Danio rerio: one gene and its partners. The protein of the gene in region 2 interacts with the protein of the main gene of each other region in a biochemical or structural test. Links are inferred from orthologs where the notes say so. Each region holds a gene or a part of one and is shown on either strand. Other genes may lie near its edges.

Region 1 (6,797 bases), on a different chromosome or scaffold from region 2:
GCCGGTACACTCCGGATCCAGCACCTCTGAAATTTGATCTGGCACCTCATTTTAACGATCCTCCTTCTCAACCGCCCTACTCCCCTGTTCACTGTTACTATAGTCCCGACTCCCCAACCATCTTCACTTTTATCCGCGACAACCCTCCGCTTTTCACTTCCGTTCTTCGTCCATGACACCTCTCCGCCAACGCCCCCCCTGCTCTCCACTTTCGTGCTCGACACTTTTTCAGTTTAGTTCACCTTTATTTGTATAGCGCTTTTACTATGTAGATTGTGTCAAAGCAGCTTCACATAGAAGATCATAGTAAATTAAAACCGTGTCAGTCCAGTTTTCAGTGTTAAGGGGGCTGTCACACTAGCACTTTAGGTCCGCACCCAGGTTCGTTTGACTGTCTGTCTGTCTGTCTCAGTCACTTTCGTACTTTAGTGACAAGCGGGGCTGAGCCACGGCAAACACAGTGATACACAGTGCTGTCTGATTTTCTCCTCCAAAAACAGCTTCTGGACTGTGTGGTGTTCTGAATGTTTATAATATTTTTGTGGCAGATGTAAAACATATGCTGGATAAGTAAAACAAATGCTGGATAAGTTGTCGGTTCATTTCGCTGTGGCCATCCCTTATGAATAAAGGGACTAAACTGAAGAAAAATCAATGAATGTTTATTACAGTGGTGGTTCAATCTGTTTGACATGGTCATTTGAGCAGCCAGTAAATACACATCTATTCATCCACTATCAAAGTATTGTAAAGTGTGATATTTTGCCATGGTAAAGTAAATAAAATAAAAGTGTTGCCTCGTTCAAATAAAGATTTTAAAATGAAAACTAAGCGTCATTAGTCAAACAATTATATGTTCAATGATTATGAGCCTCCTGTGTGTGATTTGCATAAACAGCGGTTATATATATTAACAGCCTTTTCATTTAATTTATTTTCTCTTAAATTTGCAAGTTATGATAAGGGCTACTTTCAGCCTTAAAAAGATATATTGTGCATATAAGATGGTGAATTTGAGAATGTCCTTTATTGACTACGTAAGCTGAGGTTTGGTGCATGTGTCGCTGTTTAAGTGGAGATTTTCAGCTCTGGAGAAAAATAACTGACTCAGAAAACGGCGGGTAAACTTTCAAATTTTGTATCAACATTCATCCAAGTGGACCTGTTCAGCTCTTACTTGGTAATTTCAAATATCAAATATTTTACATACTAATCAGTTAAGTATAAAAGGTATGAAAATTATAGACAATAAATTTAATTACTTGCAATAAAAAGTTATGCAGAACCACATTTTTGCCTAAATGCAAATTTTTTTTTAATTCTTTTTTTAAACAGATTGAGTGGAAAAAAGAATGGAACTTACCTAGTAAATACTGTCTCACCATTAAAATTAAATAAGCAACAAACTAATACATTTAATTTATCCAGTGAAAAGTTGTTACATTTTTTTTTAGAGACATAGAATCTATGTGCACTTTTTGTAAATTAGAGGAGGAATCGATAAAACACCAGTTTTTTTAATGCACATATACCCAAATGTTTTGGTTTAATGTTGAATATCTTGTATTTAAACTTACAAAAATAAAAAATCAGTTTTCTTGTAAAGATTTTTTTTTTTGATATACAATAATAATAACAAAACTTTTTAGCAAACTTAGTTTTTTAATTTAATGATAATATATGGGAAGTATTATGTACACAAACAAAAATGGCCCAATGATAAGCTTAATATTTATTTGGTTAAAATTGATCTTAAGCATTATATCGAAACCCTAAAAGACACAAAAAATAAAAAAGCTATAAGGATGTATGCAGTTTTGAAATCATTTTCTTAGCAATTTTTTTGTCATTTATATATCCCCTGTAATTTTATTTATTTATTTTTCTACTGATTTATTCTTTAGATGTAAAAAAGTGTAAGCATTGTATTCTTCATTTTTTGTATGCTGTTGTTCTTGTTATGCAATAATAAAATATTAATAATAGTAATAATAATAATAATAGAGAACATTCATTCTATGTAATCAGTGAGAAATATGCACTGTTCACAAAATCAAGTTGATACAATTATAATAATTATTATTATTTTTATTATTTTTAAAAATTATTTTTAATGATAAATAATAAGATAAACACCATAAACATGATACTTTTTTATAAGAAATGTACAAAACACGTGCAATGCTTGTAAACATTACAAGTGCTGTGCACCAGAATTCATTAATCCTTTTGTGGGGTCATTTTCAAAAGGCTCTTCAGTTAAGGACCATGAAAGCGGATAGTGACCAAAGGCTCCATGACCGTGTACCAACCGGTGACGGTTGCTAGGGGGGTATTTTGCGCCAAACATTGACAGACAAACTTGCCAGCTGTATGTTTTGACTGACATATTTTTCAACCTATCAGCCGTAACTCAAATTGAGCGTAGACCAATCGAATCACTCCTAGCAGTAAGCGTGTGCCGTCTGCACACATGAGACCGCCCACAAAAGAAAAAAATCTTCATTTGAGCTGCTGTGATGCTGCCAGTGCTCGTTGACTATTCGGAATATATAAGATATACAAGGTAAGAACTAAATTTGCTGAACAAATTGTGTGTTTCTTCAAAAATATGTGGCGGAGTGTAACTTTAAAGTCCATGTCAGCGTCGTTCCGCCCTGTCAATGAAACTGACCATTTCGTTTTCATTAGCACGCTTTTAGTATCGTGTTATTGTCATTAGTTTGAACAGCGACCCTTTCAAGGCCCCGCTTCACTAGACACCAGCTGCTGCTTTACACACTTTGCATTGTAACGTTAATGTGCTGCTGCTTTTATCCACACAGCATAAAATTGCATAACAAATCTAGTTTGTTAATAACTTATTGTTAATGGTTGACAGTGCAAGTCAGCTCCTATTTTGAGTAAGTCTCTGTGTTTTGCTTTGTTCTTTACAGCTTGCAAGTTTTAGTTTCCAGCCCGCTTTGTGCTTTTGTTATTATTATTGGGCGACAGTTTTCATCATGTATTTAACCTAATTTGTGTTATCTTGAGGTGTGTCTCTATCAGTCGTGTTTTTCTTTTATATTCTCTCTTTGTACCCCTTTCTTAGTCCCTTTAAAGGGTGGTGGGTAATTCCTCCTGACATGTCATATTTAATTCATAAGCCTTCTTTCACTGTCTGGCTTTTTGCTGCTTATTTTTTGCTTTCAAGCAAGGCTGCTACTTTTGGGCATGATATTTTTAGTGTTTGCTTTCCAATATTTTGTCTAAAATGCCTGTCCTCCTGAGAATTCACCTTGGCCATCTGGCAGTTGTAGTCATTCCCAGCATGCAGCTGGATTCTGTATGGAATAAATATCAACATTTCACTCATCAGGAGGTGCTCCGCTTGAGTTGGTTTAATAATTCCTGCTGACACTGTGAATGAATCACAGCTGAATGTGACTTTAATATGCCACACCTCTATCTATCTATCTATCTATCTATCTATCCATCCATCCATCCATCCATCCATCCATCCATCCATCCATCCATCCATCCATCCATCCATCCATCCATCCATCCATCCATCCGTCTATCTATCTATCCGTCTATCTATCTGTCTATCTATCTATCGATCTATCTATCTATCTATCGATCTATTTATCTATCTATCTATCTATCTATCTATCTATCTATCTATCTATCTATCTATCTATCTATCTATCTATCTATCTATCTATCTATCTATCTATCTATCTAACTAACTAACTAGGTGCCTTAGTTTTATTAATCCTGTGAGTGGCAGATTCTGGAGATGCTTGAAAAATTCCTCAGAGATTTTACTTCATATGTGCCACACCATTTACTTGGCCTGTTAATACTAGGCAGTAGGCTTGCACAATATATAATTTCAGCATCGATATGACAATGCACACATTTGCAAAAGTATCATCTCAGAATGTGCAATGTTGAGTTGGCATTATATCACGAGCCACAGTTCAGAGCACATTAGGTTTTTGGAGTCACTGCAGTTTTACCATAGAGTGAGCGTTTGTCATGTGTGTGTTTTTAAAGTCCTGTGACTGTGAGCATTTCAAGAAAGTGTAAAGTATTAAAGCACAAGAAAATGTGACACTTTGGAATTTTAATAAAGATTCAAATTCAATTATTGGCACAATGAAGAGTGCAAGATGTTTGTTTTTTAGATTTGATTATTCAATTTTTGCACCTGAATAGAGTTATACTTTCCTAGAAAAGCATTAAGCTTTGTTTATTTCAGGTTTATCTTTGTCCTGTAATGTTTATACATGCTTGTAACATGTTTTATTTTGTTCACTTCCCTACTGAGTCATCCCGATTAGTCTAAATTATTCTTTTCAAATAGACAAGGTGGATCCATTTTTTCATGTTCTAAATGCTGAAATCTGGCCTTACTATTAAATGTCACAAAAGTAATTGAGACTTATCAGACTATTTAACCTTTTTTCCATTCTTTTATTGTCCAAATTTGGTGAGCCAGAGTGGATTGTGTATGACTTTGGCTGTGAGGAGTGGGATTTAGTGTGCTGTTCTTCTGCTGTAGCTCATCTGATTTATGGTTGGATTTGTACTCTTCTGCAGAGTCCATCGTAAACAGTGTTTTGTTTTTCTTTCTTGATTTAATTAAATCATTAATAGATTCTCTCTGCTTAACCCAGTCTGGTAATTCCGCTCTGACCTCTGACATTTTCTTTCATAAAATTGCCACTTACTGATTATTTTTAGCTTTACTTTACTTTCCGTTTCCGTTTTACTATCCGTGTTCACACTAGATCTGATTGTGTGTAAAAATTCAAGTAGATCTTCAGTTTCACCAGCCTGTGCAGCATCATTAACAATCCCACGTTTAAAGTAATTCAAATCTCCTTTTTATCATGTGCTATTCTTTCCGTTATAGTATGAGAAGTCATTTGCACAGACATGGATAAATATGAGAGGTTAAAGAAGATTGGGGAGGGATCCTTTGGGAAAGCTATCTTGGTCAAGTCAAGGACAGATGGCCGACAATATGTTATCAAGGAGATTGGTATCTCCAGGGTGAGTCCATCACTTTCATCTTTTAGACATCTCTCAGAAATGCTAATAGGTATTTTATTCATTTAAGATTTCAGCCAGACAAAATGTGATATGCTGAGGGTGCTATCTAAATGTATACATATTCATGCACTGTTTTTTTTTTCATCAGATGTCGAACAAGGAACGACAGGAATCACGTAAAGAGGTGGCAGTTCTGGCTAACATGAGCCATCCAAACATTGTCCAATACAAGGAATCCTTTGAAGGTAAAGCCTTTTAATACACTAAGACATCCATATTAAGAAACTGGTATTAAATTATTTTTCATTGCATGCAGCCATATTAAGTCAATATGCATGACAAGAGGAATGAGCATTCTGTGTTTGGGTTTTAGTTGACTGTTTTTGATTAATCTAAGAACATTAGTTCCGGCACAAACTATAGCCAGTGCATTTCTGTTTTAAAGGCTCGTGTCAGATTGATAGATTGGGGTGGCCGGCAGAATCTCGTGGAGCTCAAAGCTCTTGAATTAAATTACAGGGAGGATGTTGTTGTGCTAATGATAGTTTTCTTTATGGAGCTGTGCAGTATCTCTTGACATCCGGATGGCTGGCTAATTAATGACATAAATCTGTGGCAGTGTATAAATGTTAATGCTATAAACAATGGAGAGCAATATGTTTATTTTATTACATTGTAAAATCTGATTGTTAGAGGTCTACATTGGTTTGTTGAAAACACTCTTAAAAATGATCAAATTATGAAAGCATTACATATATGAAATATACAGCCAAGCCCGAAATTATTCATACCCCTGGAAAATTCTGTCTATTGTTTTTTTTGACCGAAAATGATGCCAGCTTCTCCCAAAAATTATATTTCTTAGCTTTTTATTTAAATTTGAACAAAAACAAAATTTGCCAGAGGTAGAAATAATTTTAGGCTTGACAGTATATAGAGTATGGAGAGTTCTGATTCAAAAACCTCAAAGTACCATCTTTTGAAATTTTCTTCTAAAAGAGGTGTTTTTCATACACATTGTTAATCAAAGTGCTTTACATAAACAAGAATAACAGAAACATGAAAATTAAAATGATTAAAATGATTAAAAATTATTAAAAGATAAAAACTGATTAAAATGTGTTAACTGATTAGAAAAGAATGAAAAAGAAAAGAAGACATAATACTGTGCTCTGTTGGACATAGCTCAGTGCTCATTCATTAAAGGCACAGCTAAACGGATGTGTTTTAAACCTTGATTTGTATTTACCTGATGTTGGAGCACCTCTGATAATATCTGGAAGCTGATTCCCGCAGTTGGGGGCTTAGGCCGTACTCACACTAGGTACAGTTGCCTCGAACCGGGCCAAAGTACGCTTGTCCCCCCTCCCGTCTCCTCCGACGGCCCGCACTCACACCACAATCGGGCACGCTTACGTCATCGCTGCTGCGCTGTTCAGTTAGAAGCGCTCTCACTCAGCAGCGCACAGTGGAGATTTCTCTAGTTATATCGTTTCAGTCGTTTGATATGCAGTGACATGCAATCAAATATTTCGCCAAACAGTCCATAGGAATGCGTTGACAAGCAGCCAGATATTTCGCCGAACAGATCCGCCCCTTTTGGCGCTCATAAACAATCATAAAGCTCTCGTGCTGCAGGAATGAGGAGGTTTGCTGAAGGCGCGCAGCTGTGGTGCAGTGAGGAGTTTGTGTCTTTAATAAACTACGGCAGTTTGCGTTCACTGAACAGTAGGAATGATTAATAAATCCAAATGAAA
Region 2 (6,146 bases):
GTAGTAATATTATCTGTTATATCGGTATCGGCTAATAAATGCTTATTTTTAGTAGTAATATTATCTGTTATATCGGTATCGGCTGATAAATGCTTATTTTAGTAGTAATATTATCTGTTATATCAGTATCGGCTGATGAATGCTTATTTTTAGTAGTAATATTACCAGTCATATCGGTATCGGCTGATTAATGGTGATGTTATCTGTCATATCGGTATCGGCTAATAAATGTTTATTTTTAGTTGTAATATTACCAGTCATATCGGTATCGGCTGATAAATGCTTATTTTTAGTAGTAATATTATCTGTTATATCGGTATCGACTGATAAATGCTTATTTTAGTAGTAATATTACCTGTCATATCGGTATTGGCTTAATGCTTATTTTAGTAGTAATATTATCTGTCATCAGTATCGGCTGATAAATGCTTATTTTTAGTAGTAATATTACCTGTCATATCGGTATTGGCTTAATGCTTATTTTAGTAGTAATATTATCTGTCATCAGTATCGGCTGATAAATGCTTATTTTTAGTAGTAATATTACCTGTCATATCAGTATCGGCTGATTAAATGCTTATTTTTAGTAGTAATATTATCTGTTATATCGGCATGGCTGATGAATGCTTATTTTTAGTAGTAATATTACCAGTCATATTGGTATCGGCTGAAAAATGCTTCATTTTAATAGTGATATTCTGTCATATCGGTATCGGCTGATGAATGCTTATTTTTAGTAGTAATATTACCAGTCATATCGGTATCGGCTGATAAATGCTTATTTTTAGTAGTAATATTATCTGTTATATCGGTATCGGCTGATAAATGCTTATTTTAGTAGTAATATTACCAGTCATATTGGTATCGGCTGAAAAATGCTTCATTTTAATAGTGATATTCTGTCATATCGGTATCGGCTGATGAATGCTTATTTTTAGTAGTAATATTACCAGTCATATCGGTATCGGCTGATAAATGCTTATTTTTAGTAGTAATATTATCTGTTATATCGGTATCGACTGATAAATGCTTATTTTAGTAGTAATATTACCTGTCATATCGGTATCGGCTAATAAATGTTTATTTTTAGTTGTAATATTACCAGTCATATCGGTATCGGCTGATAAATGCTTATTTTTAGTAGTAATATTATCTGTTATATCGGTATCGACTGATAAATGCTTATTTTAGTAGTAATATTACCTGTCATATCGGTATTGGCTTAATGCTTATTTTAGTAGTAATATTATCTGTCATCAGTATCGGCTGATAAATGCTTATTTTTAGTAGTAATATTACCTGTCATATCAGTATCGGCTGATTAAATGCTTTTAGTAGTAATATTATCTGTTATATCGGCATGGCTGATGAATGCTTATTTTTAGTAGTAATATTACCAGTCATATTGGTATCGGCTGAAAAATGCTTCATTTTAATAGTGATATTCTGTCATATCGGTATCGGCTGATAAATGCTTATTTTTAGTAGTAATATTACCTGTCATATCAGTATCGGCTGATTAAATGCTTATTTTTAGTAGTAATATTATCTGTTATATCGGCATGGCTGATGAATGCTTATTTTTAGTAGTAATATTACCAGTCATATTGGTATCGGCTGAAAAATGCTTCATTTTAATAGTGATATTCTGTCATATCGGTATCGGCTGATGAATGCTTATTTTTAGTAGTAATATTACCAGTCATATCGGTATCGGCTGATAAATGCTTATTTTTAGTAGTAATATTATCTGTTATATCGGTATCGGCTGATAAATGCTTATTTTAGTAGTAATATTACCAGTCATATTGGTATCGGCTGAAAAATGCTTCATTTTAATAGTGATATTCTGTCATATCGGTATCGGCTGATGAATGCTTATTTTTAGTAGTAATATTACCAGTCATATCGGTATCGGCTGATAAATGCTTATTTTTAGTAGTAATATTATCTGTTATATCGGTATCGACTGATAAATGCTTATTTTAGTAGTAATATTACCTGTCATATCGGTATCGGCTAATAAATGTTTATTTTTAGTTGTAATATTACCAGTCATATCGGTATCGGCTGATAAATGCTTATTTTTAGTAGTAATATTATCTGTTATATCGGTATCGACTGATAAATGCTTATTTTAGTAGTAATATTACCTGTCATATCGGTATTGGCTTAATGCTTATTTTAGTAGTAATATTATCTGTCATCAGTATCGGCTGATAAATGCTTATTTTTAGTAGTAATATTACCTGTCATATCAGTATCGGCTGATTAAATGCTTTTAGTAGTAATATTATCTGTTATATCGGCATGGCTGATGAATGCTTATTTTTAGTAGTAATATTACCAGTCATATTGGTATCGGCTGAAAAATGCTTCATTTTAATAGTGATATTCTGTCATATCGGTATCGGCTGATAAATGCTTATTTTTAGTAGTAATATTACCTGTCATATCAGTATCGGCTGATTAAATGCTTATTTTTAGTAGTAATATTATCTGTTATATCGGTATCGGCTGATAAATGCTTATTTTTAGTAGTAATATTACCAGTCATATCAGTATCGGCTGATAAATGCTTATTTTTAGTAGTAATATTACCAGTCATATCGGTATTGGCTGATAAATGCTTATTTTTAGTAGTAATATTATCTGTTATATCGGTATCAACTGATAAATGCTTATTTTAGTAGTAATATTACCTGTCATATCGGTATTGGCTTAATGCTTATTTTAGTAGTAATATTATCTGTCATCAGTATCGGTTGATGAATGCTTATTTTTAGTAGTAATATTACCTGTCATATCAGTATCGGCTGATAAATGCTTATTTTTAGTAGTAATATTACCAGTCGTATCAGCTGATGAATGCTTATTTTTAGTAGTAATGCTATGCTACATTTCCTTTTTAAGAGACTGAAAAATATTAACAGACCCTCTGTGACTTATCTCCAGGTGTCTTGCTGCACTTTGATCCAGTTCTTCAGCTGAAGGATCTGTACTTCATTGACCTACAGTGGTTTTGTAGGATCATCTCACAGGTTATACATGCTAAAACACATCTAGCTCCTCTGTTCAACAACTGCGAAAGATCTGTAACATCTTTTTTCGTTGTGTTAACTGACAGACGCTGTCTCTGAAAAGCAGCGGTCCATGGGACAGCACGAAAGGAGTGGTGCAGCGCTCCACCGTGGAGAAATTTGTGGAGAAAAGCCGCTGTTTCCCAAAGGATCACATGATTCAATACTTCAAACTGTTGGAGAAGTTTCAGATAGCCCTGCCATTTGACCATGACCAGCTACTCATTCCTAGCAGGTAATGCTTTTTGTATTAAAGGGGTCATGAACATAGAAACCCAAATTCCCCTGATCTTTTAACATTAGGAGCTTATACTACTATAAAAACATCTTAAAAGTTTTAAAGCTCAACTTTGTGGTTGCTCTAAAATGAGCTTATATTAAAGGCAGTCTGCTAAAACAACAGGTTCTGGAATGTTCTACTCTATGATGTAATAGGTTGGATAAACCCCACCTCCACTGAAGATTGACATCTACTTTTTTTCACTGTTTGTATGGCTCTGGTAATAAGCAGAACTGTAAGCCAATCAGAACAGTGGGTGTTTACTTCTGAGTCTACAATCTGCCACGCCCATTCAAACAGGATTTTGATTGAGGTCAAAAACAGGACAGAAAATGGACAATTATAATATATAACTGCACATTTATAATGTTATAATTTTACACTTAATATTATAAGTGTAATGCTGCGTTCATACCAGACGCAGAACGCGCGTCAAGCGCGAGTGATACATCTTAAGTCGATGCTAACACGCGTATAGACATCCTGTGGCGCGCAACGCGAATGACGCAAATTGCATGAATGGCGCAGTGGGAATAGCGTGATATGCGCGAATGGCGCGGGGCGAATTGAGCGTTTGCGCATGTTATGCGCTTAACGCGCGTTTCGCGCAAATCAATCGAGTTCGAAAATCTGAACTTCAGCGGACATTCGCGCCGCGTTAACCAATCAGAAGCTTGCTCTTGTGGGGGCGTGATTGTGACGTAGAACCTGTTGATGGTGTCCTGGGTGAAATCCTCCAGGCGACACCGACAAGTCATCAAACTGGGCTTGGCTCAGTCAGAAGCACCGTTGAAAGACTCCGTGATCCAGGTTCAGTTTCTGGAGGAGTTTTTGAGCTCACAGAGCTGGATGCACCTCTGAAAGCATGTAGTGGACTCAGACACTGTCCTAAACGTATTGACGCTGTTTTCAGCCTTCATAAAGTACATAAACAATGTTTTTTTTTTTCTTCATAAAATCCATGTTAGCCATTTTAGCAACGACGCTACAGTCACTGGGCAGACAGAAGCCCTGCCCATCACGCGAATCCGCGTCTGTTCTGAAGGGAATTTGACGCGCGAATGAAGCGAGTGACTTTAAATGTTCACGCGGCAATTTACGTGCGAATACCGCGATTTATCCGCGGGTTCCGCGTCTGGTGTGAACACAGCATAACAGTTGAACAGTACAAAAATGTAAGTCATGATCCCTTTAAATTGAACACATGTGCGCTAATATTGTTGTTTTTCTTCACAGTCTGTCAGACCACAGGCCAGTGATTGAGCTTCCTCACTGTGAGAATTCAGAAGTGATCATTCGACTATATGAGATGCCATATTTTCCGATGGGCTACTGGCCCAGACAGATCAGCCGTCTGCTGGAAGTGTCTGCATTCCTGCTCTATGGCAGAGGTAATACAACACAAATGCTGGAAATCACCATAAAGTTTCCTATAACATTGAACTACCCATTCCAAAGTTATGCACACATTAAAGGTGACATTGCAAATGAGCTGCTGTTTTTCAGAAGCGTAAAAAAAAGGTAACCATAATAACTCGTCTTTTCAAACCTACATTGATCTGACTGCATATGTGAAAGTAGACTTACCAAAACAAGGATATTGGTTGTCATTTTTTATGTTTTGTAGGTTGTTAGTTGCTCCGAGAACAAAATTAAAGCACTTAAAGCCTGGAAAATTAAATAAGAATTAAGATTTGTAACGTGTTTTTTTTTTTTTTTTTTTTTTTTTTTCTCTATAGAAAAAGCATTAAAACCAAACCGGATCTACTGGAGGAAGGGCATCTATTTGAGCTGGTCTGCTGAAGCTTACTGTCTGGTTGAGGCTTTGACTTTAGAAGAAAACCCAGCTAGTTTCATCAAGATCACCGTTCCATGCTCTCGCAAAGGTAAAAGAGAAACTTGTTTTGCAGTGTTTGGACTATCTTAAACACTTTGGTTATTGCAATGATGGCTACAATTTTAAAAGTTGTGGTTGTGATGGTAATGATAGGATGCAAAAATGATGGCTATGGTTTTTATGAAGAGTTGAGCTGTTGATGATCATTGAATGTCATGGCAACAATAATACTGATGTTGTGGTCATTAATGATGGAGATGGTGGGGGTTGTGATGCATTTGATTCATTGATAGTAATGAGAAATGTTTTGGTAATGATTGAGATGGTGATGATAGTGATTAGTTTAATTCATAGATGGTGATAATTGCTGTTTTGGTAATGTTGCATATAATAGTGATACATTTTATCAATTGATAGTAATGCTTATTGTGGTTGCGGTAATGATAGATATGTGTGGGGATGGTGATGCATTAGATTCACTGATATTAATGCTTGTTGTGGTAATGATAGTGATGTATTTGATTCATTGATATAAATAATGGTTGTTTTGGTAATGATGGTGATAATAGTGATTCATTTAATTCATTGATAGTAATGCTTATTGTGGTTGCGGTAATGATGGAGATGCTGATGATAGCGATTCATTAATGGTAATGATGATTACTTTTTTGGTGGTGATAGTGATGCATTTGATTCATTGATAGTAATGACGATTGTTATTGAGGTAATGGAGTTGGGGGGAGTAGGGTTTGTAGTGGTAATGATGTAGAAGATGTTGGTAGTAATGCATTTTATTAATTGATAGTAATATTATTGGAGTTGTGGTAATGATATTCATGGTGTTGAACTGGATATAGTAATGCATTTTAATCGTTGATGGTAATATGATTTGGGTTGCGGAAATGATAGAGATGGTGGTGATAGTGGTGCGTTTCAGTCATTGATAGAA
Region 3 (6,708 bases), on a different chromosome or scaffold from region 2:
ATCTCATGTTTTGTTTTGTTTGATAACAGAGGTGTCTCTGTAAGAATGCACAGATCAATAATGAAGCATTCCATTACTTTAGAAACTGTTTACGCTCATTTAAGAGAAAATAAGCTTTAGTTTTAAAATAAAACATGCAGGACGGAGATGTTTACATATTATTGAGTGTATTTGTCTGTTTAAACATACACCCGCTCCTCTGTAAATGGCGTATACAGAAGTATACATATTAAACATTATTATTAAACAGCACTAAATATTTGATGTTTTTATACAATAATTAACTTCTGAATTTATTTACAGTTGAGGGCAGATTTCTTCACCCTCTGGTGAATTATTTTTCCTTTTTTAATTATTTGCCAATGATGTTGAACAGATTCAGGAATTTTTCACAGTATTTTATTTGTTTTATTTTGGCTAGAATAAAAGCATTTAATAATTGTTTTAAACCATTTAATAGTCAATATTATTAGCCCCCCTATGCAATGTTAGTTTGGATTGTCTCCAGAACAAACCACTGTTATATTATGACTTGCCTAATGACCCTAACTTCACCCTAATTAACCTAGTAAAGCCTTTAAATGTCACTTTAAGCTGAATACTAGTGTCTTCAAGAATATCTAGTCTAATATTATGTGCTGTCATCATGGCAAAGAGAAAATAAATCAGTTATTAGAAAGGAGTTATTATAAATATTATGTTTAGAAATGTGTCCTTTAAACAGAAATTGGGGAAAAACTATTTACCAGAAGGTTTAATAATTCTGAACTTTCTGTGAGTCTGAATTTCTCCTAAACCCCCCGCTGTTGAAACTGACACACATATTTACTCTGTGTGTTCCCAGCACCCCTCACTCACGATGGCTTTGCTGTAGCAGGTGACGGCCTCCTGGTACTTGCGGCTGAGGAACAGGCGGTTTCCCTGCTCCTTCAGCTCCTGTGCGGATGAGCTTTTCTCTGGGCTGCTCGCCATCTTCTCCATGGGCTCTGCGGTGGCCGCTCCCCCCTGCTTCCCAATCCTGTTCCCCGTCTCTTCGGTGAGCACCGGCCGGTCCCGGGGAGCCAGTTACCTGCAAACCTCTCAGAAACACACAAGGAAAATATGAGCCACAGTAATGCAGGTGCAAAATCATAACAATATTCTTATGGGGTCAATTTTATTAGCCACCATAAGAATATACATTCAAAACAGTTTGTTAGAAACAATGATATGCTTTGCGTGTTTGTTTTTATGTTTATATAAGTGCTATTTTCATTTATAGCTCTTGATTTTTGCATTGATTTTTAATATCTCTTGTTTAAATACACTATGAACAGCAGCTACGCTAATTATTTTCTTTATTTTCTATTTCCACCTGGGGATACTCATCCCGAGGCCTCTAGAGATTGTGCAGCGCCATTGATGTGATCCAAGACCTGTGAAGAAATGATGCCAACCGCAGAGCACTTCTAGAGGTCTCCATAATCCTGGACCAGGCCGTATCCTGAGCAGATATCAGGGCCGGAGTGGGACTCATTTTCAGCCCTGGAGTTTCAAGCCAGACCAGCCCACCTCGACTGATTACATTAAAATAAGGTCATTTCCAATTCAGTTTCTAATGACACTATCACATCTTTTTTGAGAAAACAGCTGCTTTAGAAATTCAAATGTTCAACAACCCTTACAGTATTATGTCATAAAAACGAAAAATAATAATAATAATTTTTCAGGTGAGATTCGAACATGGGTCGGAAGTTTCGCAACGCAACGTGCTTTCCACTGGACCACAATGGCGCTATTCCAGTGGGAATAAAAAATAAAGATTACACTGTGAACGGCAAGACATAGTATTACTTTGATGGCTAAATCATTTTCTCCTTTTAGATTTCTGATCAAGTTTTGTCAGATTTAATGTAGTAAATCATCTGATTTTCATTGAGCAGGTGTATTATTCATTAATATTAATTATTCAAATTCTTATAATCACTAAGGTGCCACTGTTTGGGGTCGAATGATTAGTTACATCATCATTAACGTTAGTAAACCTGCAGGCTGCATTTTGCTCACGGAGCAGCAAGAAAAAAAATAAATAAAAAGAGCGGCGCTGCGGCAAAATAATGAAAAACAAAAAAAAAGAGTGAGGCTATGGTCAAATTAATAAATAAATAAATGAAAAAAGTGTGACTGCTGAGAGTGCAAGCAGCTAGGGACACTGGCCCTCACGGCCAAAAAACGGACCGACCCACCAGGAATTCTCTCGGTTCGCCAATCCGGGCCTGGCAGATATTGTGGTTGTCATGGAGGAGCTGAGAGCATAAGACTGATGCCTGAATCACCCCAGTGACAAACAAGTCCTCACATTTATCAAGTGGGCCAGCCTGAACACACGCCGGTGACCTACTCACACTTGCATCTTCTCCACGATGGACATCCAGCGTTCTCCAGCCTCCGGCGCCTAGACTGCTTTTCTGCAGTTTGGTCAGAGGAGAAATGGTCGTGCCCAACAGAGCCGGTTTCTCTCCAGGTTTTTTCCTTCACTTCAATCACGTCAATTGGTGAAGATTGTTCCTTCGCTGTTGCCACTGGCTTGCTTGGTTTGGGAATTGTGGAGCTGCGCATCGATGGATTTGCTCTTCAGTGTTTGAACTCTCAGTATTGAATATTAAACCACACTGAACTAATCTAAACTGAACTCCAACTCTGAAAACTGGACTGACAGTTTACACTATCACTATATCACTATAATCTTCTATGTTAAGCTGCTTTAACACAATCTGCATTGTAAAAGCGCTACAGAAATCAAGATATTTTTCAATTAGCTACAGAACAAACCATCATTATACAATGACTTGCCTAGTTAACATAATTAAGCCTTTAAATGCTGAATACAAGTATCTTGCAAAAACTTGCACGACCCTCAATTGGTACTAATGGACCCAAAGTGTGCTAAAAAAATCTCCCCCACACCAATACACCACCACCACCAGCTTAAACCGCTGACACAAGGAAGGATGGATTCATGCTTTTATGCTGTTGACGTCAAATTCTGACCCGAGCATCTGAATGTGTCAGCAGAAATGGAGACTCATCAGAGCAGGCAACGTTTCTCCAATCTTCTATTGTCCAGTTTTGGTGAGTCTGTGTGAATTGTAGCCTCAGTTTCCTGTTCTTAGCTGACAGGAGCGGCACCCGGTGTGCTCTTCTGCTGCTGTAGCCCATCCGCCTCAAGGTTGGACGTGTTGTGTGTTCAGAGATGCTCTTCTGCAGACCTTGGTTGTAACGAGTGCTTATTTGAGTTTCTGTTGCCTTTCTATCAGCTGGAACCAGTCTGGCCATTCTCCTCTGACCTCTGGCATCAACAAGGCATTTGTGCTCACAGAACTGCCGCTCACTGGATATTTCCACTTTGTCGGAGAATTCTCTGTAAACCCTAGAAATGGTTGTGCGTGAAAATCCCAGTAGATCAGCAGTTTCTGAAATACTTAGACCAGCATGTCTGTTATCAACATCCATGCCACGTTCAAAGTCACTCAAATCCCCTTACTTCCTCATTCTGATGCTCGGTTTGACCTGCAGCAGATCGTCTTGACCATGTCTACATGCCTAAATGCATTAAGCTCCTGTCGGTGAGTGTATACTCTACATTTTTCTGATTTTGATTGAAATGTATTAACGTGCACCTTTTGTAGAGCTGCTGTTCATATAGTAGAAATGATTAAAATGAATTGTTTAATGTACATCACACACACACACACACACATCTGGACAACAGTAACACACATCTGGACACTGACAGTTGTGTGAAATCATTCATGACTCTTTATGCAGCTCTGTGAACTTAAAACACACACAATCCAACAGTTAATCACTAAAATTAAGCACTACCAACGAGTAAATGTAATTTCACGTCGATCAGAAATTAAACTCCTGTGCCTGACACATAAGCACATTCACACACACTTTACAAGCTAACAACCAGGTCAGCGCTGAGAATAAACACGCTTAGAGATTAAATCAGATGGTTTGAATATGAAATATGGATTATTTGAGGCGTACCGGGTTTGACTGCTGGACTGACGCCTGTCGTTAGCAAACCGGTAGCGACACTGGTGCTTTGATGATCACTTTTGGATCCCTGATAGCGAATGAAACGCGGCCAAACTCATATTCCGACTCGATCATGACATTAAGATGACAAATGTCCGACGTTTTCATCGGCGATCCTCAAAAACACGACATTTTACCCGCGGGTGTGAGACGCTAGCATCATGTTTCGGTTGTTTTGACTCTGCCGTCACTGTGACGTCGCCGGAGGTGACGATCGGAAGCTCGTTGCCAACGTAATAACGCCACCTGTCGGCGACGTGCAGGAGTTTAATTTCATAATAATAATAATTAGATAAAATATATAAATAAATATGAAAACAGTTATAATAATAATGCTTGATTATTATCATTATTTATTCTACATTTTACACGTTTTTTTCCGGTTACACATTTTAAAAAGTGTTCTAGAAAAGCATGTAATAAAAATATAAATAACTGACTTAATTTCTACTTCAGCATATAATTTTGAGCTTTCTAATGACTTTTAATTCTTATGACTTTAATACCTTATTTATAATTTTGACCTTTAAGTAACAGAGTAAGCCATAATTGCTCATTTTTTATTAAGAATTACAAAAAAAGTCTTAATTTCTTCTTTAAATATTTTTTTTCATGTAGTTATAGAATTTAGCTATATAATTTAATATAAAAATACATCAAATGTCTTTAATTCTCCTGTAAAAATGTGCATTTTGTATTTAATTTTTGTTTAGAGACATTTTAGAGTCACCCTAAAAAGCTGCATCATATTTTAGGTGCAAAACAATGAGTTTGCTAAAATGATGTGAATAATTTAATAATAAACATACTCAAATTCAGATTGCAATATAATTTCTTGCTGAACACCAAACACATTCAGAAAAATAATATATTAACATTAAAGAACAGTAAAAGAGTCACCAAACACCATTTCAGTTCATAAACCATATAATGCACTTAAATGAGGACAACATGAACAGTCGACAAGTAAGACAAGTAGAAAAAATACATGAATCAAAATGTGAATAATTATGATGATAATATATAATTCATTAGTGTTATCATCATTTTTACTCTACATTTTAGTTTTTTTGTGATTATTAATTTTAAAACTTTAAAAATGTTCAAGATAATGTGCTTTCTTATCACTTCTAATTTTGATTTAGGTATAACATTTCTTTTTTTTAATACCCTATTTATAATTTTGACCTTTAAATAACTCAGAGTAAGCCATAATTGCTCATTTTAATTAACATTTATGAAGAATGCCGTCATTTCTTCTTTAAATTTTTTTTTCATGTAATTACATAATTTAGTCATAGACTTTATTATAAAAATAAGTCAAATGTCTCTAATTCTTCTGTAAAAATGTGAATTTTGTATTCAGTTTTTGTTTAGAGATATTTTAAAGTCCCCCCAAAATAGCTGCATCATATTTTAGGTGCAAAACAATGAGTTTGCTGAAAATGATGTGAATAATAATAAATGTACTCAAATTCATGTTGTAATGTTATTTCCTGCTGAACACCAAACACATTCAGATAAATAATATATTAACATTAAGAAACAGTAAAAGAGCCCTCATTCACCAAACACCATTTCAGTTCATAAACCATATAATGCACTTTAATGAGGACAACATGAACAGTCGACAAGTAGAAAAGTATATGTAAACAAATGTGAATAATTATAATACATAATTCATTAGTTTTATCATTAATTACTCTACATTTGCAGTTTCTTTGTGATGATTAATTTAATAACTAAAAATGTTCAAGATATTGTGCAATGATTTAATTTCTACTTAAGCTAATCGTACTTTTGAGTTTTTGTATGATTTTAAGTATGACATTTCTATTTTTTACCTTTTAATTTGACCTTTAAATAACTCATAAGACTTAATTGCTCATTTTTAAATTAATAATTACAAAAAATGCCATAATTTCTTCCTTTAACATTATTTTTTTTATGTAACTACATAATTTAGCCATGGACAGTAATATAAAAATACATCAAATGTCTCTAATTCTCCTAGAAAAACGTGAAATTTAGTCTTTCTCATATGTACAATTACACAAAACTTCCAAAATCAGCCTGAATTTTGTTTTTAGTTTCATGAAGAATAAAAAAAAGTTCGTTTTTTGCATCATATTGTAGGTGCAAAAAAAAAAAACATGTGAATTTTTTCTAAATGCAATTAAATTCATTTATTAATTTTCATTCGCTTTTTCAGGGTCAGCAGTCTTAGGACAGAACCCCAGACACTTCCTCCAGCTCCACCGGAGGATCCTGAGGCACTCTCAGCCCAGCAGAGACACATAGTTCCTCCAGCGTGTCCCCCAAGGTCTCCTCCCCGTGGGACATGCCTGGAACACCTCTCTAGGTAGGCATCCGAAACAGGTGCCCGAGCCACCTCAGCCGACTTCTCTGGATGTGGAAGAGCAGCGGCTCTACTCCGAGCTCCTCACCCCGTCTATGAGGATGCGCCCTGCCACCCTGTGAAGAAGACTCATTTCGGCCACTTGTATCCAAGATCTTGTTCTTTCAGTCATCACCCAAAGCTCATGACCATAGCTGAGAGCAGGATTGTAGATTCATCGGTAAATCGAGAGCTTTGCCTTTTGGCTCAGCTCCTTCTTCACC

What was found. The genes of interacting proteins can lie anywhere in the genome.
Region 1: the proteins of lrrk2 (region 2) and nek1 interact on a protein array, tested with the Homo sapiens proteins (2 studies listed by BioGRID and IntAct, with this or other methods). The link is inferred for Danio rerio from reciprocal best matches to the Homo sapiens genes LRRK2 and NEK1.
Region 3: the proteins of lrrk2 (region 2) and stub1 form a complex in vitro, tested with the Homo sapiens proteins (3 studies listed by BioGRID and IntAct, with this or other methods). The link is inferred for Danio rerio from reciprocal best matches to the Homo sapiens genes LRRK2 and STUB1.

Annotation. Positions count from the first base shown.
Region 1 is NC_133195.1:26,281,296-26,288,092, forward strand, and holds the start of nek1 (serine/threonine-protein kinase Nek1), read left to right. Parts: upstream 1-2,516; 5' UTR 2,517-2,566; intron 2,567-4,900; 5' UTR 4,901-4,923; coding exon 4,924-5,040; intron 5,041-5,188; coding exon 5,189-5,285; intron 5,286-6,797. UniProt on the Homo sapiens protein: Phosphorylates serines and threonines, but also appears to possess tyrosine kinase activity. Involved in DNA damage checkpoint control and for proper DNA damage repair.
Region 2 is NC_133200.1:38,208,245-38,214,390, reverse strand, and holds part of lrrk2 (leucine-rich repeat serine/threonine-protein kinase 2), read left to right. Parts: intron 1-2,955; coding exon 2,956-3,041; intron 3,042-3,127; coding exon 3,128-3,315; intron 3,316-4,596; coding exon 4,597-4,751; intron 4,752-5,099; coding exon 5,100-5,246; intron 5,247-6,146. UniProt on the Homo sapiens protein: Serine/threonine-protein kinase which phosphorylates a broad range of proteins involved in multiple processes such as neuronal plasticity, innate immunity, autophagy, and vesicle trafficking.
Region 3 is NC_133199.1:43,370,887-43,377,594, reverse strand, and holds the start of stub1 (E3 ubiquitin-protein ligase CHIP), read right to left. Parts: upstream 4,282-6,708; 5' UTR 4,036-4,281; intron 1,080-4,035; 5' UTR 982-1,079; coding exon 859-981; intron 1-858. UniProt on the Homo sapiens protein: E3 ubiquitin-protein ligase which targets misfolded chaperone substrates towards proteasomal degradation.